2 linked regions of the Arabidopsis thaliana genome follow. The protein of the gene in region 2 interacts with the protein of the main gene of each other region in a pairwise test. Each region holds a gene or a part of one and is shown on either strand. Other genes may lie near its edges. The genes, in order: AT1G48450 and UBA1A.

Region 1 (12,538 bases), on a different chromosome or scaffold from region 2:
CACATAAATATGAAGATGGAATACACAACCTTATGGTCCTTACCCATTAATCATCAGAACCACACTGTTACCACGTGTAATTGGAACATAATTTGTCTCCTGGAGTTAGAAAGAATGCATAGGCCAACGAATGAAACACGATACATGTATTTTATTAACACTATCACTTTGGAGATAGTAAGTCAACAACGGGAAGATCAAGATGGTTATGGAAAGAAGAAGCAGAGAAGAGAGGAATAGTGTACATACTGGACTCAGTATCTGTTGAAGAACATGGGACACTACAACTTCCACAGGTTGAATGTCGACTACAGCAGCACCAGGCTCCCCATGCTGAGAGAAAAGTCGAAAAACAGCGAGCAAAAAAAGGTCAAAATATTAGCAAGAGTAATGCTCTGACTTTCCTATGTCATAAAAGAAAATAAGAAGAGAAACAACATACAACTCCAAGCCCAAGTTCCATTTTCTCTGGACCCAAACGATCTGATGTAACCTGTCCTGGAAGCGCACAGACAGATAGTGCAACACCCATGGTTCCAACCATTTCAGATGCATGTTTTGCTTCTGCTGCAACTTCTGCTAGAGAAAGTCCAGCAGCAGCTGCTGCTCCAGCAACCTACCCTTAACAAAAACAATAACAAAGGATATAAAAATACAAAAGAGCACAAAAGAACCTGCCACTTAGACATCACAGACAAATATAAGAAAATGCAATAATAAAAAAAGATGAGGATAAGTGACTGCAAACACTACTAAGAAATGCTATCTTATAGTGCAGATAGAGGAAAAACAACATAGAAGAAAACTGAGAACCTTATGGACAAGAACTGTTCCCGCTAAACCTCTGCGCCCAGCTACGCCACGCGGCGGGGGTAGAGCACAATCATCTCCAACAATTACAGTCTACAAAAGGGATCATGTCATCCAATCCACCAGTGTTCTTACCAAATTCTAAACAATAAATATACAGTTACCTCTATATCGAAACCCTCAGTTTTTGCTTGCTCAGCTGCCAGGCCAAAGTTCAAGCGGTCACCAGTATAGTTCTATTAACAATATGTAAAAGAGAAACTAATTTAACCAAAGACACTGAAGGATAGTCTTTCAAAGCTATTGATATATACATAAGAATAAGTCTAGCCATGTTTTATTTACCGTGACAACCAAGAGGCATCCTTTTGGACCAGTTACAGCACGAATCCTCTGGAATTGGACAAAGATTCATCATTTTCTCGAAAGACACAAGAGAAGGAATAAGAAGAAGAAACGTTATGTGGGAAGAGTTACTTACAGCTAGGATGGAATCAACAGTTGGCGAAGCAAAAACATCTCCACAAATAGCAGCTGTGAGCATTCCTTCTCCAACATACCCAGCTTGTGCTGGTTCATGCCCACTTCCTCCTCCTGTTTCAAAAATGGCATTGCATAACACGAAAACGAAACTCAATTTGTAATAAAAAAGAATTGGACAAGTAAACTCCAACCTGATATAACGGCAACCTTGTCATAATTTGCAGCTGAGACATCAGCTCTTAGTACAACTTTGATCTGTGAATTCATCATAAATAAGCTGAGATTTTGCACACATCCATGGAAGGAATCGAAAAAAGTGAATTTTTTTAACCTCGGGAAGACCATCCAAATACTGAAGTCCAGGATAAGTTTCGACGAGACCTTCGATGAACTCGGTTACAACATCTGCAATAAACAGCTTATGTTCATTCTCTCTATCAATTGATATTTCAAGAGCATGCAACTACCATATATGAGATAAACTATCTAGAACAGAGAGCTAGCGATTCGAAACACAAACGGAGACGAGGGATCACGAACCGTTGGGGTTGTTGATGAATTTTTTAGCCGGAGGAACCATGGTGCTAGCTAGCTTTCAAGGATATAAAAACCATAAAATCGGAGAAGTTCATACGGAGAAATAAAGAAGAGAAAAAATTGAGACTTCAAGAGTCAACAATGGCAGAGAAGAAGAAGAGAGTGACTAGTTTCTGTATTTGTTCTTGAAAGCTAACCGTTAAATCGAAATAAACCGATAATCAGCACAATAAAACCGGTATATGGAGATATTGGGCCGGAGGTGAGAGCCCATTAAGTAAGAAAATAACTTAATTAGTAAGATAAAGAAAAAATGGTTAAGCATAGGCACGTGTTCCACGCACACGGTTCGTCTATTATTATTCTTCGTCTACTTCACACGGAATAGAGATAGAGAGAGAGAGAGATCCAGAAAAAGACGAACAACAATGGCGTTGCAATGGCTGATTCTATCGTATGTGGTGGCCGTCGAAGTAGTAATCACCCTCGTGTTGACTCTCCCTTACCCTATGCTTCTTAAGAAACGTGTAGTTCAGCTTGTCTCATTGATTCTCCAACCTGCTGCTTCCATCGTCGCCTTCGCCGGATTTCAGCTCCTCGGTAACCTCCTCTCCTCTCTCTCGCTCTATCTATCTATTTCGTAGTCGGAATATGTATAGTTAGGGTTTTGAGCCGCGAGTGATTCTGTGGATTTGGTACCTTTGTGTGCTTTTGCTTATTTGGTTTTGATTTCATTCAGATATTTACTGGAAGGCTGAGCATAGACTATCTTGTTCATCTGAGGTTTGCACTGCTACAGAACGTGATCGCTACGAGAAATCTGTAAGTACCATTCCTTGATCACCTTTGTCTTTGATTCTTCTATAGCTGAATTCTATGTGTATGAATCTTTTTTTGAATAGTAAATTGTTAGATTTGTGAGTTTCATCCTTGTCATTTTCTCCCATCTTTAGTCTAAAGATCAATATTTGTTAGTAAAACTTCTGAGAATTGGCTTTCTTTGTCTGAGGAAGTTGCATAGATTAGAGCTACAAAACACTGTCTAACTTGTTAGTGTCAATGCATTTTTTTAGGTCTTACCCTTCATTGATGTACTCATATATCTTTTAATCGTAGTTCTAGCTACTGTCAAATAGCAACATGTGACTTTCTTTATACCATCGGCACGATTGTCATTCATAGTTCAGTTTATACTTTGCTCTTGTGAATTGTTGGCAATTGATTCTTGGTGAAGCTTCATCACCACTCTTGGATGTTTAGTTCATCCCTCAGTTTTCTGGTCATGCACTGTATTCAAACCTTTTTGGGTATGCAGTTGCGAGTCGCCAGGATCAATTATACATAGTGAAAAACTGAAAATCAAACACTTGGATATTTAATTCACCCCTTAGTTCCTTCTCTTTCCCTGAAATGTCTCAGCTTGCTTGCTAACGAGTTGTGCGTTTGCATTGTACCACAGATCTACAAGGCTCAGAGGAACGTGGTTCTATGCGCTGCAGGAATTCTACTCTACTGGTAAGTTGTAACATCATCAGCTATTATCAGTCACTCACAGACAGGGTCTCGCGTAGTTTTATTGATATCTCTTTTATTCATTGACAGGTGCATCTACCGCATCTGCAAATACAACAAAGACCTGGAGCGCTTGGAGGCAACGGAGAAGAGATTCAAGGAAGAGTAATAATCTTCACGAGTATAGGGAGTTGGTTCCTCAAAACCATTATATAAGTAAAGCTTTTTTTTATTGCATTTTTACGTTCTAATATTATTGGACCTGAATGAAACTAAGAGTATCGTGAACAGCCTTTGCACACTATATGTGTATATCATCAGTGTCCATTTCTTTGATCATATTTCAAGAACAACCTTAATTTTTCATGTCCAGAATTATCATTTACAGACACTAATTTTGTTAAACAACAACGATGCACTTCAAGATGTAAACGAGAAGAATAACACAAACTGATCGCGAATGTAGTATTACCATAAAATGGGTATTGATATTAGTTGGTCAGTTCACAGTCGCATATATTACAAACAACAAATCCCCAAACCCTCTCAAAGAATGTGGCACATCCTCATAAACCACAGAGGCCATTTCAGTTCAGTACGAAGTGATACCTTGAGTCTACATGGCTCTCCACGTCCCAGAGGAAAGAACCAAACGTCACAGCCTCCAACACAAGCCTCTTCAATCCCTTGAAGCTGATCTTGATATGCTCGTCCTTCGAGGAATCAATAGTGCCTTGTGGCGTTATCACAATCTCTGGCCTCCCAAACAATGCTTCTGTATGCTTCTCAATTATCCCAACCGATTCTCTAGATCTTATTGTAGCGTACCTTTGAAGGGTTTCTCCATCAAAGGACATAACGTATGTCTTTAACCGGGATTGCTTCATATCACTGCTAAAACCGCCACTGGCATTGATCCCTCCTACAAACGAACCAACGTCTTGGTTTGAGGAAACAGCCTGATAAGTCTCTTCTGCTTCTTCATAGAAGTTTCTCTCTACATCTCGGCCTGCTTGCTCAATGCTAGTCTCACCTTCATCTGACCCACCTGGGAGAATCCTCATCGTCTTCTCAAGCTGAAACCTTTGATCGATCCTCTTCAGGAAATACCCATACATCACCGAAGCAGCATATACCTGTCCAACTCCAAGTTTGCTTATCTGCGCAACTGCTGTCAGATCATCAGTGCGGTTTTTAAGAATGATGGAAAGATGATTCTGAATCATCTCATAAACTTCAGGCGAGTGAAGTCTCTCAAGTTCCCCATCTAGAGTTGGCCAAGTATCAACTCGACCAGATGGATCCGCAGATGAAGAGGTTATGGATGGTACAAGTGTAACATTAGCATCCATGAACTTCTGAACCACTAACGCATACAAAATCTCTTCCAAGGCCCTTCTTCTCTCTTTCTCCTTAACTTCAGCAATTCTCCTAAAGACCCAAGAAACAATCTAATTCAATATCCAAACCTATATAATAGCCGAGTGGTAATTAATATCAGCATATGACAAACCTGTAGAGAACAATGTCTGTTCCAAGGACAGAGGATGCATCTTTACTCTGTTCTTCAGCGTCTCGATCAATTTGGAGCTGTTCAAGCTGCTGTTCAACAGCTGCTGGAACAAGATGAGGATGGCTCACTAATATCTGTGACAGAAACTGTCCCACAGGAGACTTCAACTGAAGCGGCGCGATTGATTCTGTTGAAGCATCACCAGAAGCTGAAGCTTTAACCACAAAGCTTCTCCGAGATTTAACACAAGTTGTTCCGCTTTGAAATGGTCTCGAGAATTTAAGAGAAGAGTTTTGCTGCATACAGAGAGACAACAGATTCAAATTACAATATAGTCAAGCCAATTTTTTTACTTATGAGAAATTTACACGAAGAAACCTTAAAAGTTCCATTTTTTTACACAGAATCTGAATTCTCGAATTTCATTGGAAGATATACGATTATGGGGTAGATTAAGCACAAACAAAGATGATTCGGGAAAGCTATAAATGTCAATGTTGTCTAGGGTTTAGTAAATCAAACTCAGTAGAAATAAGACCTACTCTGAGACGAAATTGAGGTCCGGAGCTAATTCGCATGAAGCCAGGACAGTTGGGCGTCGAAAATATCAACCTTTCGGAAGTTTGACGCAGTAAGGAAGGAGATTGAAACAAATTCGCCGCCACAGCGTCCATGATTAGCCTCTGGGAGAAGCAAAAAGTCGGAACTTTGGCCAGAGAAAGGAGAAATGAAGAAGAAACCTAGAATGTAGGAGAAGATGATGTCGATAAATAGTGATTAAACCGGTTAGTGTGGATGGTTTATGACTCTTATCTCTTCCAATAATACCCACTCACGTTTTTTCTTTTGATAATTACGGGAAATTAATTTCGTAATTTTTCATGTTTGACACAATAGAAGTTGGGCTCATATTTATATTTCTCAAAGCCCATTAAGCGGGATTTTAGACCATTATGGGAAACATATATAGCCCAGAATACGACCCATCAAGACAATTAGGGTTTCTCTCGCCTTTCGCGTCTAAAAAGTTTTACCCCAATCGGTGTGTAAGAATGTCGTCGTCGTTTCTATCTGATTTTTCGTTTCTCAGTGATTTCGTTTAAAAAAAGTTATTTTGTCTTCTGTGAATCTACAATTTTTTTAAAAGGTTTTTCGTTTTTGCTAATAAAATAAGAAAAACGGTGGCGATGATGAAAAAAAGGCCGGACTTACGGCTACTACCACCGTGAAAGTGTGGTGGGTAGTAGAATGATGCTAAAGTATCCAAAGGTTACAGCTGAGCCTCCTCTTTCTACAACTTCACCCATTTTTATCCGATCTTCACTATTATTTTGCCTCAACTTCTTTCTCAATCAAAGTTCGGTTTAACGTTTCGGTTCGGTTCGGTTATATCGGTTTTCGTTTTTTTTGTTAAATTTTTTGGAAAAGTATGCTGAATTGATCCGATATTAGGTTCGGTTCGGGTAGGTTCGGTTTTCGGGTAATTCGGTTTTTAACTGGGTATGTGCAAAAAAAACCGAAATAACCGAACAGAAGGAAATACATAAAAAAAAATTGGGTTTGTGCAAAAAAAAAAATTCAACTGGGCCAAGCTAAAATACATAAAAGGCCCATTGTAAAACCATAGAAAATAAATGCAATCAGAAGGACAGTTTAATTTTTAACCCATTTCAAAGAAAACAATTCCAAAAAATAAAATGTCAGAAAAGAATTTTCTTTTAGAATAAAGACAGTGAAGAGATTTATTTCAAAGCCTGGGTTTAAGCTGCTGAGAGAACACAAAAAACCCTAACAAAAATGGAATCGAAAGCAATTTGCTTAGGGTTTCTTCCTCCAAGACTTCGATTTTCATCTCCACGTTTACTCTCTCTTCCTCCTTCTCCTCCTGTAAGTGAAATTTAACCATCAAAATTTCATTTTTTTCCATTTCGATTCTTCCAAAACCTTATCCTAAAATTTGTCAATATCTCCTGATTCTATAGGCTTCTTCCACATTTGCGACGCGTCACAAACTTGATTCCAGACGTAAGTATCTCTATCTTAAATCCTCCTACTTCACCCAGATTGTAGCATAAAGACTGATCCTTTTTCTCATTTTCATTCTTGTTTAAGAAACCCTCCTTTGGAACAAACCGCAATTGAGCCGAGTTCGTGTAGCGTGTTCTTCTTCTCAATCTGACTCAAGACCTGAGAAGAAGCAATCGGATAAGAGTAACTATGCTCGAGCTGAGCTGTTCCGTGGGAAATCAGGTTCTGTTTCTTTCAATGGTCTGACTCATCAGCTGGTTGAAGAAAGTAAACTGGTTTCAGCTCCGTTTCAAGAAGAGAAAGGTTCTTTCTTGTGGGTTTTGGCTCCTGTTGTTTTGATTTCTTCGTTGATTCTTCCTCAGTTCTTTCTAAGTGGTATCATTGAAGCTACCTTCAAAAACGACACTGTTGCTGGTAGGTCAGGTTTTACTACTGCTTTAATGTTTAACATCGGATTATGACTTATATGAATCCTAGGAAGGAACAAATGGAGTAGAAGCTATCTATCTTAGTGGTGTTACATCTGCTAACTCATTATGTTTTAGTGTAGTAGGCTTTGGCTTTGAGGTTTTGATAGGCTTAGTACATGTTTTCTGATGTGCAATATTAGAATCCTTTTTTTCACTATTATCAAGAACACATGACCTGAGCCTTAGAAAGTACCTAAACGAGATCTCATAACTCTCCTAAAGCTAAGAGACTTAGCAAATGATCTATCTCTTGTTGTATGATACTCATTTTGATGCTCTCTCTTATTATAATTTCTTGATGCAGAAATTGTTACTTCTTTTTGCTTTGAGACGGTGTTTTATGCTGGTCTTGCGATATTCCTGTCTGTGACTGACCGAGTGCAGAGGCCGTACTTAGACTTCAGCTCCAAGAGATGGGGTCTGATCACTGGACTGAGGGGATACCTTACGTCTGCATTCCTCACGATGGGTTTAAAAGTTGTAGTTCCCGTATTTGCTGTTTACATGACTTGGCCAGCTCTTGGAATAGATGCTTTGATTGCAGTGCTTCCTTTCTTGGTTGGCTGTGCAGTTCAAAGAGTTTTCGAGGCTCGGCTTGAAAGACGTGGCTCATCCTGTTGGCCCATTGTTCCAATAGTCTTTGAGGTAAACTTATATTCTGATTTTGACCATTTTGGTCTTAAGTTTGTCTGCCCATCTTCTTGTGGTCCATGATGTTGTAGTCTTGTTTTGAGTAACTATGGTTGTGTATGTCATGGCAGGTGTATAGGCTGTATCAGGTGACAAGAGCAGCGACTTTTGTTCAGAGGCTGATGTTTATGATGAAAGATGCGGCAACGACTGCTGAAATAACAGAGCGAGGAGTTGCACTAGTTGGTTTGGTTGTGACTTTGCAGTTTCTAGCTGTTATGTGTCTCTGGTCGTTTATCACTTTTCTTATGCGCCTCTTTCCTTCTAGACCTGTAGGTGAAAACTACTAGATCTCAGTGTTTAGTGATTGTTAGATGTAGCCAAATCCCATCGGTTTTGTTTTGTTTCTGTGTTCATTTCAGTAGTAATGAATTGTATTAAGTCACTTTAAGAATTGGTTGATCATGTGAAATGAGAATTGGCTGGAAATGTTATAGAACGATCCTACTTAACTTCAGTATTTGATGAGATTTCTTATTGGAGACTCTTGTGACCCCTTCTCTAAAGTTTCAATGTGTGAAATCACAACATAAGTAACACAACAATAGATGGGTCTGGTCTCAGCTTGTGTTTTGGTCCTTTGTATGCAACAATAGAGAAGCTGAATGCTTATCCACGTGGAAGATTTGTGCCTCCGATAGGTGTCTTTAACAGTGTGACGTGTCTGTATTGTTTCATTGATGAATCTGTTACACCGTTGAGTGATTGATTCTCAAATAAATTGGTCCCAAAGCTTTTTATCAATATGTGATGGTTATTAATGGATACTTAATAAAAGATGCCATTATACTAATCAACGATTATTGTTGAGAAAACAATAAAATAGGATCTCAAGAGAAATAGCCGCTTCTATAAAAATAGTGAGAGTGACTGAGATCAATAGAACCAATCTCAGAATCATCTTCTTTCTCTTTCGGAACAAAAATGACGTCTCCTCTCTCAGATCTCCTAAACCTTGATCTATCAGACACCAAGAAAATCATCGCTGAATACATATGGTTCGATCCCTAATCATCTTTTTGTCACTTAAATCTATAGAAAAGTCTCTCTATAACTCGATGCATGTCATATAGATTCTTGATGTTACACACTTGTGATCTTGCATGTCTCTTTAAACAACATTGTTTTGTTCTGTTTTTTCATGAGAACAGGATCGGTGGCTCTGGAATGGATATTAGAAGCAAAGCCAGGGTAATAATACCATCACATTATGTCTCTCTAGTTTCTATAATAACCAAACAAAAATTTAAATTCTGTTTGTTAATAGACATTACCAGGACCAGTAAGTAATCCAACAAAGCTTCCAAAATGGAACTACGATGGATCTAGCACCGATCAAGCTGCCGGAGATGATAGTGAAGTCATTCTTTAGTAATCTTTTTCATCCCCTATTCATAACATTTATAAGTAAAGTGATATCAAAAGTATCTTTAAAATAATTTCATTTTTTTGGAATGAATTGGAAAAAAAAAGTCCTCAGGCAATATTTAAGGACCCATTCAGGAAGGGGAACAACATTCTGGTTAGCCCACATAAAATTTTGAGCAAAAGATTCATCTGTTTTATTGATTAGTGGGTCTTTAAAATCAATGTTCTTGAATATATCAGGTGATGTGTGATGCTTACAGACCGGCCGGAGATCCAATTCCGACCAACAATAGGCACAAGGCCGTAAAAATCTTCGATCATCCCAATGTGAAGGCTGAAGAGCCTTGGTAAGCTAAATACATAGCCTATAGAAAAATTCAAATGAACTATAATCGAATTTTTTCAGTTTGTTATGGTGTAGAACAAAAATACCATAGTTTGACCAATTCAAAATATATTGTAACATATATTAAAAGTTGTTTAACATAAGCACTGTTTTGGAATATATTTCAGTTTAGTTGATTCAGTCTAGGACTCATTTTGATACTTTGATGTGTTATATAATAGGTTTGGGATAGAGCAAGAATACACATTACTTAAAAAAGATGTGAAGTGGCCACTAGGTTGGCCTCTTGGTGGCTTTCCTGGTCCTCAGGTACACTTATGATAAAATTCATACACTAACTCTTATTACCAAGAACAAGTTTCTTATCTCGGAAATATTGCTTTTTGTGTGTTTTGATGAAACAGGGACCGTACTATTGTGCAGTAGGTGCAGACAAAGCTTTTGGTCGTGACATTGTCGATGCTCACTATAAAGCTTGTCTATACTCCGGTTTGAGTATTGGTGGTGCCAATGGTGAAGTCATGCCTGGACAATGGGAGTTTCAAATCAGTCCTACTGTTGGTATTGGTGCAGGTGATCAATTATGGGTTGCTCGTTACATTCTTGAGGTAAGAAACCATTACAATTTTATCTTTGTTTTTATCAAGTTTCATGGGCCCATATTTCTGCTATGTCCTATCTTATTATCGATGTGGCATTCCTAACAATTTCTTTGCGCTCAACTTTGGTTTCTTGCACTCTAATATGAATCATTGTGTTTTTTTTTTTTGGCAGAGGATTACTGAGATATGCGGTGTGATTGTCTCATTCGATCCAAAACCAATCCAGGTTTCGTGATGATCAAGACTGTTTTGTTTGTAGCTATAGCTTGAGAGTTTTCTTGAATGTTCTTTTGTAGTGAGGTTGTTATCTATGGTGGTTAATTAATTAGGGTGATTGGAATGGAGCAGCCGCTCATACGAACTTCAGTACAAAATCGATGAGGAAAGATGGAGGACTGGATTTGATTAAGGAAGCAATAAAGAAGCTTGAAGTGAAACACAAACAACACATTGCTGCTTATGGTGAAGGCAACGAGAGGCGTCTCACTGGGAAGCATGAAACTGCAGACATCAACACTTTCTCTTGGGTATATATATGAAACCAAATCATATAGTTACGTTTTGGTTTATGATCTATCTCTATGTAACTTTTATCTATCGAGTGTAGGGAGTGGCGGATCGTGGAGCATCGGTGAGAGTAGGAAGAGATACGGAGAAAGAAGGTAAAGGGTATTTTGAAGATCGAAGGCCTTCGTCTAATATGGATCCTTACCTAGTTACCTCCATGATTGCTGAAACCACCATCCTCTAAGCTTTAGACTTTTCTTCGTTTTGGTTCTTTGTATGTTCTTCGAATTTCGGTTTGATATGGTTTAATTTCGCATTTAGACTTTTCTTTCAAATAAGTTACGAAATGTTATGTGATTTCTATTGTTTGATCCGGTTACGGTTCACTTTTAAGCCAAAAAATCTACCGTTATGACTCGAATAATTTGTAACCATCATCCTCGGCTAAGCTTTTTAGTTACATTTGAAGTCATTCAGTGAAGGGCGTTTGCATTGTACCATAGCATCCATATTAGATTATGTTTGAATAAGGGCATTGACCAGGAAAAAAACAATTGAACGGGCCTGACTTTATTAGCCCATATATCAAATTTACCGTCCGTTATTGTTCTTTTACTTTTCTAGTTACGTGTTGGTCCAAAAGAAAGGATTGAGAAACAAGAAACTTGTATACATATCTAGAAGTTAGAACCCATTTCGTTTCAAGCCTAATTAACCTCTACCGTTATGACTTGAATTCGAAGCCGTGTCTATGCAAAAGTTGACCAAAACATTGATTTTTCTTTTCTTATATTCAAGATTCAAGCTATGTCATAGAAGCTACCCTAAAGCTACATGCCTACATTATGCAGTTTTCGTCCATTGATGATTGATCTGTAACGTTTAATTATCAGGTTATAAGCATACACACATTTTTTCCTCGTCTATGATACGGTGAAAGCATTAATATAAGCTATAAGATTATATATCTCGTAGTCGAATGTATAAGTATTTTTTTGTTTTTACTGAACGATGTATATATTATACTTGGATTAATATGGGCTTATAGAGGGATCTAATTAAGAATTAGACGTATCTTGTGGTCAGGTAAAGTCAGTAGATACGTTCACGAAATTCATGTAAAATATATAACTAAATAAACTACTTGATTGGTCCACCTGCACGCATATACTCAACTACATATATGTATATATATGTTCATGCATGTTACGTATAGTTTATTATTGTAAGCCGGTATTTTCTTCATCACAGAAATAAATCAATATAGACGCCAAGAAAAACAAAACCAACTAGAAAAAGTCATTTAATATTTGAATCTTTTACGAGAAAAATAGAATTATAAGTTTCTCGAAACTATCTAACAGAAATTCTCTCCGACCAATGAAGAATAATCAATCTTTTTGGGTATTTGCTCTGGTCTTTCACGAGCAAATGAAACTTATAATTAATGGTAGTATTTGGTGAGAAGAAAAGGAGCCAAACCACATGAAAGAAAAAAAATGTAAATATTAATTGTAGTTGTCGTTTCGTTTCGTGTAACGCCCAACCATGTATCGCAGCACGTTACAGCTTCCTTTTGTTGCTGTATGTGTAAATGATCTAACCTAATACCATACTATTGCAAAGAAATAAAACTATTCCTTTGTCATATACTACTAAATTCTAGGAATAG
Region 2 (11,878 bases):
GCTCTTCACGCACGCAAGCTGTTCGACGAAATGCCTCTAAGAACAGCTTTTTCATGGAACACGGTTCTTTCGGCTTATTCTAAACGAGGAGATATGGATTCGACTTGTGAGTTCTTTGATCAGTTGCCTCAAAGGGATTCGGTTTCGTGGACTACGATGATTGTTGGGTATAAGAACATTGGTCAATATCATAAGGCTATAAGAGTTATGGGGGATATGGTCAAGGAAGGGATTGAGCCGACGCAGTTTACGCTTACGAATGTGCTTGCATCGGTGGCTGCAACGCGGTGTATGGAAACAGGTAAAAAGGTTCATTCTTTCATCGTTAAGCTTGGTCTTCGCGGTAACGTTTCTGTGTCGAATTCACTGCTTAATATGTATGCAAAATGTGGTGATCCAATGATGGCAAAATTTGTTTTCGATAGAATGGTTGTTAGAGATATCTCAAGCTGGAATGCTATGATTGCGTTACATATGCAGGTCGGTCAAATGGATCTTGCTATGGCGCAGTTCGAGCAAATGGCTGAGCGAGATATAGTCACTTGGAATTCTATGATTTCTGGTTTCAATCAGAGAGGGTATGATCTCAGAGCTCTAGATATCTTTTCGAAGATGCTGAGGGATTCTCTGTTGTCGCCGGATAGATTCACTCTGGCGAGTGTGTTATCTGCTTGTGCCAATCTTGAGAAACTTTGTATTGGGAAGCAGATTCATTCGCACATTGTTACTACAGGGTTTGATATTTCCGGAATCGTGTTAAATGCATTGATCTCGATGTATTCGAGGTGTGGAGGGGTCGAGACTGCCCGGAGACTGATAGAACAAAGAGGAACCAAAGATCTCAAGATTGAAGGTTTTACAGCTTTACTTGATGGGTACATTAAGCTTGGAGATATGAATCAAGCTAAGAATATATTTGTTTCGTTGAAAGATCGTGATGTAGTCGCATGGACCGCCATGATTGTAGGATATGAGCAACACGGTTCGTATGGTGAAGCTATAAACCTTTTCAGATCAATGGTTGGAGGAGGGCAGAGACCAAACAGTTACACTCTTGCAGCAATGTTAAGTGTAGCTTCAAGTTTGGCATCATTGAGCCATGGCAAGCAAATCCATGGGAGTGCTGTAAAGTCAGGGGAAATTTATTCAGTTTCTGTCAGCAATGCATTGATAACAATGTATGCAAAGGCGGGTAACATTACATCGGCAAGCCGGGCATTTGATTTGATACGCTGTGAGAGGGATACAGTATCGTGGACATCCATGATTATCGCGTTGGCACAGCACGGTCACGCAGAAGAAGCACTTGAGCTTTTTGAGACAATGCTGATGGAAGGACTAAGACCTGATCACATAACATATGTTGGTGTTTTCTCTGCCTGTACTCATGCCGGTTTGGTCAACCAAGGTCGTCAATACTTCGATATGATGAAGGACGTTGATAAGATTATACCTACCCTTAGCCACTATGCTTGTATGGTGGACCTGTTTGGACGTGCTGGTTTATTGCAGGAAGCACAAGAGTTCATCGAAAAGATGCCTATTGAGCCTGATGTAGTGACATGGGGTTCACTGCTTTCTGCTTGCAGAGTTCACAAGAACATCGATCTTGGGAAAGTTGCAGCAGAGAGATTGCTTCTTCTCGAGCCAGAGAACAGCGGGGCATACTCAGCCTTGGCTAACTTATACTCAGCTTGTGGAAAATGGGAAGAAGCTGCTAAGATAAGAAAATCAATGAAAGATGGAAGAGTAAAGAAGGAACAAGGGTTTAGCTGGATTGAAGTGAAGCATAAAGTCCATGTCTTTGGAGTGGAAGACGGGACTCATCCAGAGAAGAACGAGATCTACATGACCATGAAGAAGATTTGGGACGAGATCAAGAAAATGGGTTATGTTCCCGACACAGCTTCTGTACTACACGACCTCGAAGAAGAGGTTAAAGAACAGATTCTAAGGCACCACAGCGAGAAACTAGCAATCGCATTTGGACTAATTAGCACTCCGGATAAAACCACATTGAGGATCATGAAGAATCTCAGAGTGTGCAATGATTGCCACACGGCTATAAAGTTCATTTCCAAGCTTGTGGGAAGGGAAATCATAGTGAGAGATACAACAAGATTTCACCATTTCAAAGATGGGTTTTGTTCTTGCCGAGATTATTGGTGAAAATAAGGAAGATCCAAAGAATTCTCATAAGGTCTAACTCAAGCCATTGTACAGAACAGATTCAGGTATGGCTTCGTTGGAGGGAAACCAACAAAAGTTTTCCTCTTTCATTGTTTAATTGGTATGTAAGTTCCATCATCATCATAGTTATTGAGCATTAGAATAAGATGACATGGCATGTGAGTCTTTAGTGCTAAAGGAGAAGGATATAATGAACGATTGAGATATTTTTGGGAAAAGCATAAAGAGGAAATGGAATTGGAACAATCAGAAAGAAGTATAGAAGAAGAAGGAGAAGAAGAAGAGAATATGGTTCTGTTTGTTACCAAAAGCTTTTCTTTTTAGTTTTTACTAACCATTGACTACATACATACATTAATACATAGATGAAGAAAGATCTTGGTCGGCATAAAATGTATGACTTAACAGAGAGAGCCCACACTTGTGTAGCTTACGTGGCAGGTCAATTAGAGATGATCACATAGAGTCACTGCCCGTACTGCCCTAAGGATTCGTAGTAACAACTACGGGCAGCTTCACACTCTTCTCTTTCATCTCTCATCTCTCTCTTCTCCTATATCTGAGATTCTGAACAACTCTTCTTTGATCACAAATCTCACACTTTTTCCATTAATGAACAGAGCTCATTTCTTCTAGTCCTTTTCTCTTTCTTTCTTCCTTTTTCCGCTAATTACAGAGCTTTTCTTTGGTACGTTCTTCTTCTTCTTGTATCTGTTTATTTTGTTTCTTAGATTATTGTTTTGTATGTTGTCAAATATTGAAGTAGAGGACAACCTCTAAACTTGGTTGTTTCCTCTGTTTTTCATGATTCTTTCTATGATTGCTCTGTTTTGTCTTTTTTTTTTCTCGTCAATAACTTCAAAACGAAGATTGCTCCATATTTGATAAATGGACAAGAAAGTTGTCTGAAAATTTTGCTTTAGTTATTATTATTGCAGATCTAACGGTTTTCATAACTGTTAAATACAGAGTGAAGAAAGAATGGAGTTGAAAGAACAAGGTATGAGTATGAGGTTGTCTCTGGTTCTCGGTAACGCTTTAGTGCTAAACTGCGCCGCTTTGGCTTTAACGGCTACTATGCTCTCTTCTTTGCTAGAGCTCTTCTCTCAGGCAAGCTTTTTCTATTTTCAACTTTTTTTTTTTTCCTTCTTAACAAACGTTTACAAGTATTCGCGGTCGCACAAAACAACAACTTTATAAAAATAGATTTTTTTCTACACAAAAGTTTCACACAAATTTTTTTGGCTACAAAACTAAATCTTGACCGACTTGAAGCGTTACTTCATCAGAATGGGTGGTTGGAAAAATATATAAAATTAAAAAGTTTTGGTTAAATATTGTGAGGGTATGTATATAATAATAGCTATTAGTTGAGGACGGTTGCTTTTAATGGGGAATATTAAGATAGATTTTTAAAATCTAAATTATAAATTGTAGGTCCAAAAAAAATCAAAAAGGTATATTCCATATATTATGCTTCCAAGTTTTTCAAATTTAATGTCTAGAAGAAGCCCATGTCCTAATTTAGTATGTCGGCCCAATTTGTAAAATCATGTTAACTTGGTAAAAGATTGTTTCTGGTAGTGATAAAATGAATATGAAGCTGCAGGTTACTGTCTTGAAGGGTGATGTTATAGAGAATGGATATGAGGTGGTTGATGCAGTGGAAGGCAATGGAAACAATGATGATAGTGGTGATGATGGAGGAGAAGACGAAGAAGGCAGTGCAGATGATGCAGAAGGAAAGGAGACCAAGAAAGGACCGGTAAGTGATCCTGATTTGAACGGTGAAGCTGGAGATAATGATGATGAACCTGAAGGGGATGATGGTAACGATGACGAGGATGATGATAACCATGAGAACGATGATGAAGATGAGGAGGAGGATGAAGACGAGAATGATGATGGTGGTGAAGAAGACGACGATGAGGATGCGGAGGTAGAGGAGGAGGAAGAGGAAGAAGATGAAGATGATGAGGAAGCGCTTCAGCCACCAAAGAAGAGGAAGAAGTGAACAAACCGCTTTGATCTCCTAACATTTTAGATTCAAAAATCAAAACTTGTTATCGGTTTTTACCTGAAGAGGAGAGAATCTTAAGGCATCATCAGCTTTAGCTTCAACTGTGTCTTTGTTGTTCCATAAACCAAGACTTTGTTTAGTGTAACATTTTCAGATCCAATGGCACCAGCTTTCTTTTCTTTAGCCCATCATTAATGATATATGCATATCTCTATGAGGTCATCAAATGCGATCAAATTTATATAACAACTTCAAGGGTCAACTTTAGCTGTCATAAATAGTTAAAAGAAAGTTAAATCCTATTGAGTCCTCATAGAGCAAACCTTTTTCCCCAGAGGTCACAATACAGATTGCACAGAGGTCTTTAACGAATAATCACAATGATATTACTTGAGCCACAGACTGTCTATCGTATGATATCGGACAAGAGTGACATCAAACAGAAAAAAAAAGAAAGGAAGAAAAAACAATACAAAAAAAAACTAAAACGTACTGACTTTGATAGAAATGTTAAAAAGAAATCCCCAGAAACTGCATGTTTATCATTCTCATGCTCAGCCCACACCATCTGCAAAAGTTGGAGTTCAAGAAAACAAAACAAAACATAACTCTATCAAAAGCTGAAGACAAAAAGAAAAACATATGGAAACAAGAGCAATGCTCTATCTTTCTGGTAAGATAACCCCGAAAAGTGAAAACAATAGAAATCAAAGGGACAAACATAAAAAAAATGTTAAAACTCAAACTTAAGTCTAAAACCATGAGTGCAACAGCATGAACAGATGCTATAGTTTACAGTCCGTTTAAAGACGTTAGCACCAAAACCAGATGAGTGGAGAGATGGTGGACGTTCAGTTTATAAAACCCAGTGCAACACTAAAACAAAAAAAGCCAAGAGACAAAAAGAATGTAACAATATTCGTCCCCACCATCACCAACCTATAGAGAAACTAACTTCGATAAAACAAATGGCACTTGAGAAAACTGTAAAACCAGGGACAGTAAAGAAAAGAAAACAAAACATAAACCAACAAAAGGAAAAATAATGGAGAAAACAAAAAAAACAAAAGTATGGTGGGTCACATTGCATCTACTTGAAATAGAGTCGAAGCAAGATTCATGAATAATGAATTACGGCAACCGATGACAATGCTAACCTACCTCTAGAACATAATTTAGGTATTTAATTCCTGTAGCAGTTCCTCCTAGGAATATACATATTTAGGCATTTAAGCCAACTATTTGACTAGAGAGGCATAATAATGTCAGATAAAATTCCGGTACTACCACAAAAGCCTTAATCCATTTATCTACACATGACGGAGCTACAATGAATTTATGCTTATCCAAAGACATTCAAACCACAATATTAGCACAAACATTGCTACAAAACACCAAAGGTTTCAGTGAACGTACCATGAATAGTTTGAGTAGCCATGAAAGGAGGAGCCACCAGCATCCGAATCTTTACCCGTCCCTCTTTTTCCACCAGCATCCGAATCAGGATAAGTACTAGGCAGACTCTGACCTCTAAAGTAAGAACCTAGAGCTGAAAGACCAGCAGCACCAACGCTTGGATCAACACCAATCCCACCCATTTGACTAGACTGTACCATATCAGAACCCAACCCGCCATGTGCTAGAGCACCCGCTAACATCGGATACATGTAACCTCCCCCAGCTGCTGCTGCTGCTGCTAAAGCTGGATTTCCCAACATCCCAGCTCCATAAAGCGGATGGTATTGGTTCCCTAACATAAACGGCGAAGCAGCCATTCCACCACCGTTAAACACATGTTGACCTTGTACCTGCTGTTGCTGAGGCTGTCCATGATTAGCCATCGAACCCATACTAATCTTCACCGGACCAGGTTGATCATGCCCCTTTCCTGAAGCCGCAGGACCCATAGAAGCAAGCTGGCAAGTGGCAGTTCTATTAAGAATCCTCTTCTTCGGTTCTTTAAGAGCTTCTTTAGCTCCTTTCCTAGTCTTGAACATAACAAATCCAAACCCTTTAGCCTTACCAGTAGCCTTATCTATAACAACGGTACACTCTTCAATCTCACCATAACCTTCAAAGACTCCAACAAGAGTCTCGCGAGTCGTCTCCCATGGAAGACCATAAACGAAGATTTTCCTGTGTGTAACATCACGATCTGCGGCTTCTACGACGGCGGAATAGATCGAAGATCCGATTCGAGAAGCGGAACAAACTAGATCGACAAGCTGGTCCTTGGAATAAGGTTGTAGAAGCTCACGGAGCTCTTCTGGGTCGAATTCGTTGTCTGATTCGGAATCGCTAGAATCAGAGCTGGAGCTTGAACTTGAATATGGCGTTGAGGATTCTGGTTGTTGTTGTTGTTTGTTAATCTTCTGTTTCTTATCGAAATTCGTGGATTTGGATTTCACGAGTTTGCGCTTCTTAGATTTGTCTAGGGTTTTCGCCATTGTAGTAGAGGATAAACGAGTCAAGAAGCTTTTAGGGATTTTGATTTTTGATTTTTGATTTCAGTTTCCTGTTTCCCCTCGGGTCAAGAGTTCGATTTACTTTATCCTCGAGATGTCGTTTTTCCGATTTTTTCAGTTTAATTTTTTTTTTATTCGAGTATTTTGCTTTGAATATATTTTCAAATATTTAGATTATTTTTGGATTGGTTTATTTTGAATATTTTTATTATTTTACATATTTTTAAATATTTGCTTTATATTTAAGATAAGGCCTTAGATCTTTGTAGAGGTTACATGGCAAGATGCTGGCTTTAAGTTATGATGGCTATACATCAACCGGAATACCATAAGCTCCCTAACTTTACGGGGTGTGAACTTTGTGGTACTTTTCTTTTAGAGCGCCGTCAGAAAAGATTCCTGGCTAGGCAGAGGTTTTAGCCATATTGGTGGTGTCGCTCTGCTACTTGTTTATTCATTCACCAGTTGAAACTTTTTTTTCTTTCTTTTTTATCTTTATGTGTTATGAGAAACTAAAAAAATAGTCACCGAGATCTTAGAGAGGGTTTTGTTTTTGTTCTTAAGATTTTCAGAGTTTCCCCATTGGAAAGAAAAACAAAGCCCTCATAAGATCATGATCACAAAACAACGAAATCAAATGACCAAAACCAAACCAAAGTTGATTTAGCTGAAGCATACTATAGATTAATACGAGTTGATTCATATGGATGGATGGATAGCTGCAGAGAAGACCAAAAACCGAGAAACAAGATTGATCCTCTTAAGAAATCGAAAAACTGAAAACAAGATTGATCCTCTTAAGAAAACAAGCATTCGCATCATCGGTCACTGTGAGGTCATTGTGAAAATCCAAAGAAAAAAAAAAAAAAAACAAGTATGCTTTGCTACCATAACCAGAGTTATATAGAATATGAATAACGAGCAGGTAAAAAAAAGGTAAATCCAGAACAAAGCTATGTAAGGTGAAAAACAAATTGGGTCCAAGTACCGATGACCAAAAACAATCTTGAACTTAGGCAAGAAAACTTGGCAACTGATATCAAAATGGACTCTTAAATACAAAAGAGAAAGGGGCGACACTACCATAAAAGAGGAATGTGATGAAAGAGATTGAGAAGCTTATAAAAACCTATGGGGAAGAAAACAATGCTTGAAGGAAAGAAAACTCAGGTTGTTTATTCCAGAGAAAATCAACTTGAAGCTTTTGAAAGAGTCCCAAAACTTTTTCCAGTACTCAAAAAGACAGATTTAAAACAAGAATGTAAAACCATTATGTCTGATCCTACAAACGGGTCTCAAGACAACTGCAGCTGGAAGATACAGACTTTTGGCAGTTATGACATATAGTGGACAAAACTATAAATGTCATAAGCTTCTTCTCCAGCTATAGCGAACAGATATTCAATGAAAATGCGGGAAAACATAAAACCAAAAACAAGGAAAAACAAAAGAGAAAAACATACGCCATGCCACAGAAGAAAACCAGACGTGAGTTTGATGGGTAAGGAGAAGACAGAAGACCATAATGGGGGACTCCAAAAGGGAAAACAAAGAGATAGCAAACTACTTTAAACCAATATTGATCCTAGTAACTAAATCTTCTAGACAAAATGACCACATTTCACTGGTTTATGAGAACAGAGCAGAACACCAATGACAGACTTCCAGAGAGCAACAGAAAATTCATCCTTTGAGCACACATCTCCCTCAAAATGGCTCATATAGGGGTAGATACCTCGTTAAAAGAGACTATAAATAATGAAACTAAAAAAGTAGGTTTGAAACATCAGGCATAGAAAATAAAGATCCGCAAAAAAAACTCCTGCAATTCCCAAAATATCAAGTTGGAGTCGAAGATACCGGACTAATCATTAGCCTAATCTATAACTTGAAATATCAGAGAACATGGTCATACCACTTGGGTTCTCTTATCTCAGATACCAAGCACGTTCACCATCAAAACCAGCACCAGCACCAGCACCCGCACCAACACCGTTAACATTACCATCACCAACATATTGTCCCACCATTCCCATATGATTCGGTGGCATCATAGGTCCTTGATTCATCATACCCGAGCCAAACATACGATAATTCTGTAAACCAGCAACCATCGGATTACCCATCATTGCACCATACATAGGATTAAAACCAGGAGGAGGCTGAGAATGTCCATAAAAGGGCATGTTCTGTCCAGCATACATTGACATATTCTGCTGCTGCTGATGTCCCTTATCAAGTCCATGACCCAAATCAATCCCAGGCAAAGCCATTTCACTCTGATTACCCGTATGACTCAAATCAATCTTCACAGACTCAACCGGTTGTTGTTGTTCTCGTGGCTTTCCAGAATTAAACGGCCTAGCTGGTAAACAACTAACAGTTCGATTATACATTCTCTTCTCCGGATTCTTCAACGCCGCTCTCGCTCCTTTACGCGTCTTAAACAACACAAAGCCAAAACCTTTAGCTCTTCCTGTATCTTTATCCATAACCACAGAACATTCCGTTATCTCCCCATAAACCTCAAAAGCCGCCTTGAGATTCTCATGCGTTGTATCCCATCCAAGACCACGCACGAATATGTTCCGTTGAGAACTATCTCTATCCGCTGATTCAAACACTGCTGAGATCAATTTAGAACCTTTCTCAGCAGTTTTGTAAATTAGGTTAATAAGCTCCTCTTTAGAGTAAGATTCAAGTAGATTCTTAATATCTTCCTTATCGAATTCGAAATCAGAATCAGACTCAATGGTAACAATCGGGACCGTAACAGGCTTTGAATCGACGATCTCTTCGGATTCATCTGATGATCTCTTATGTTTCTTCTTACTCTCCTTCGATTTCTTAGGAGATGGAGATGGAGATGGAGATTTCTCCTCTTCTTCTACTTCTTCGTATTTCTTCGATTTCTTCTTTGATTTCTCTGGTTTCTCTTCCTCTTTGGATTTCGATTTATGTTTTTTTGAGATTTTCTTCTCTCTTACAGCGAGTTCTTCAGCTTCGCGACGCTTCCTCTCCTTCCTCTCCTTCTTCTCTTTCTTCTCCTTCTTACGTTCTTCTCCTTCTTTCGCCATTGTTGACGGCAGTGGCTACCAAAAAAAACACTCTGAATAGAGTAACTCCTCTAAAATAGGGTGCACCAGAGAACACTAGATTATTTAAGTATATTTATAATAAAGTAAAGAGTCTAACAAAAACGTCTGGGTGGTGTAGTCGGTTATCACGCTAGTCTCACACACTAGAGGTCCCCGGTTCGAACCCGGGCTCAGACATGCTTTTTTTTTTGCAACACATAATTTTTTTTTTTAACATGAATTAGTAGAGGGGCAAAAACGTCAAAATACAGAAAAGGAAAAAGATACAACATTTCTGGTTTTTGTGTGCCGGCGAAGAACCGGTGAGTGACGGGTCAATTCACATACTTGTTTAACGGCAACAAAAACCTACCGATAAATGCTAAACTAACGAAATCGGATCATAGCTCGACGAAGTCTCGATCTTTTCTATTCTCTCTTTCTGGGTATTCGTGGGTTTTACCCAGATTTCGAAATTGAATGGCGGACGAACTGGAATTGTCGCCGTTGGTTCCACCGTCGCCGATGGTCGAGCCTTCCGAGATCGATCTCGAAGCTGGAGGACCTGGTGAACAAATTCAGTGCCGAATCTGCCTTGAAACTGATGGTAATGTCTTCTAAAACCATTTAGATTCGCTTCTTCCTTAAATAGATTCTTTGCTTCTTGCTAGTGATTGTTGAACATTTTCATGTGCTCATAGATATGTCTAACTTCAGTTCAAGAATTCGGATTATGAAATTCGAATTGGCTAGATCGTTAATGGTTCTGATGTGATTTAGATTAGTGTTAGTGATAAACTCTTTTTTTATAAAAGACTAGTGATTTAAAACCGTGATATAGTGAGAGAGCTTTTGTTCTAACTTACTTGGTTGATTCAAGCTCATTTATTGATCATGGTCAGGTAGGGATTTCATTGCCCCATGCAAATGCAAAGGAACATCAAAGTATGTACATCGTGATTGCTTGGATCATTGGAGAGCTATAAAGGTTCCATTTTTTCATACGCTTTAGCTCAACTTGGGTCCATGCTTGGCTGTCGTTAGTGTTACTTGAAACTTGAAAGCTATGAATGCTCGCTTTCACTCTTTGACTATTTGTTGTTATCCCTTCCATTTTCAATCAAATATGACAACCTGTGTAAGTGTTATTGAATAGGAACTTCCCTTTTGTTGTAAATTTCTATTTTTGTTGAATACGAAAACCATTCGAAGGCTAAACAACTAAAGAATGATGGTTTTGGATGTGAAATTTTCAGAGTTGATATATGTTTCATGAGTGATGATTAGAGTGGTGGTGTTTTTGGTAGTATCATGGTAAAATAATGAATAGCAGATGTTGACGCCTGGTAAGCTCGTTTTATTGCAGGAAGGTTTCGCGTTTGCGCACTGCACAACTTGCAAGGCTCCATATTATCTGAGAGTTCACAGTGCTGGAGATAGGAAATGGCGGACATTGAAGTTTCGCTTCTTTGTTACTCGAGACATTTTATCCATATTTCTTGCTGTTCAGCTTGTAAGTATTCATTTTTCATGTGTGCTTCTGTTTCTTACAGTAGTTTTTCTTTCATTTGGTAATATATCTAACTCATGCCTTTTAAATGACTTCATCTGCTCACAGGTGATTGCTGCATTGGCCTACATGGTCTATTTCATAGATAGTTACCAGCAATCATGGCTTCGTCATATATGGGGTTTTGACAGTGAGGTCACGTTTTATTACATGTGTGGTATGATCCCAAACTTTAATATCTAAATAAATTCCCCTCTAGATAAGATAATATTTTTTAGTAAGACCTCTGCCAAGTGTAGTTGGTAAGACGGGAATGCTAAGTTTATTATTGTACATATGTCCTACAGTCCTTGTTAAAGCTTTGCTTCAATCAGAATCTTAGATTCCAATGTAAGGAGTTTGCTATTAGATGATTTCATTGCCTCTACGTAGTAGGAAGTGAAGCAAGGGTTTTGTGATCAGTTAGATTTAGATCAAAAGTTAAGGGGTTGGCTACGTTACGAATATACAGTTAGAGTTCTGGACCTCGTAGAATTTTTAACTAAATAAGAATTTTCAAAGCAAGTGTATTAGAATTTAGTAATTAAAATTTTGTGTTTTACACAGCTCTTCATGA

The links.
Region 1: the proteins of UBA1A (region 2) and AT1G48450 interact in a two-hybrid assay, tested with the Arabidopsis thaliana proteins (one large-scale study listed by BioGRID).

The regions. Positions count from the first base shown.
Region 1 is NC_003070.9:17,904,817-17,917,354, forward strand, and holds AT1G48450 (alanine-tRNA ligase, putative (DUF760)), read right to left. Parts: upstream 5,658-12,538; 5' UTR 5,530-5,657; coding exon 5,398-5,529; intron 5,152-5,397; coding exon 4,856-5,151; intron 4,774-4,855; coding exon 3,930-4,773; 3' UTR 3,886-3,929; coding exon of another isoform or gene 3,842-3,885; 3' UTR 3,687-3,841; downstream 1-3,686. Other genes in the region: AT1G48430 (Dihydroxyacetone kinase), read right to left, coding at 44-99, 250-333, 443-616, 814-903, 975-1,046, 1,156-1,203, 1,292-1,404, 1,485-1,548 and 2 more; AT1G48440 (B-cell receptor-associated 31-like protein), read left to right, coding at 2,259-2,430, 2,570-2,652, 3,290-3,345, 3,433-3,511; AT1G48460 (tRNA-processing ribonuclease BN), read left to right, coding at 6,653-6,742, 6,838-6,880, 6,968-7,297, 7,658-7,998, 8,115-8,333; GLN1;5 (glutamine synthetase 1;5), read left to right, coding at 8,968-9,041, 9,195-9,234, 9,311-9,414, 9,517-9,565, 9,652-9,758, 9,979-10,066, 10,162-10,365, 10,532-10,585 and 2 more.
Region 2 is NC_003071.7:9,383,794-9,395,671, forward strand, and holds UBA1A (RNA-binding (RRM/RBD/RNP motifs) family protein), read right to left. Parts: upstream 6,714-11,878; 5' UTR 6,658-6,713; coding exon 5,614-6,657; 3' UTR 5,257-5,613; downstream 1-5,256. Other genes in the region: AT2G22070 (pentatricopeptide (PPR) repeat-containing protein), read left to right, coding at 1-2,169; AT2G22080 (uncharacterized protein), read left to right, coding at 3,172-3,300, 3,800-4,204; AT2G22088 (uncharacterized protein), read left to right, coding at 4,591-4,747, 5,009-5,256; AT2G22100 (RNA-binding (RRM/RBD/RNP motifs) family protein), read right to left, coding at 8,604-9,752; AT2G22120 (RING/FYVE/PHD zinc finger superfamily protein), read left to right, coding at 10,233-10,359, 10,655-10,740, 11,119-11,265, 11,371-11,479. UniProt on the Arabidopsis thaliana protein: Acts as a component of a complex regulating the turnover of mRNAs in the nucleus. Binds with high affinity to RNA molecules that contain U-rich sequences in 3'-UTRs. May function in complex with UBP1 and contribute to the stabilization of mRNAs in the nucleus.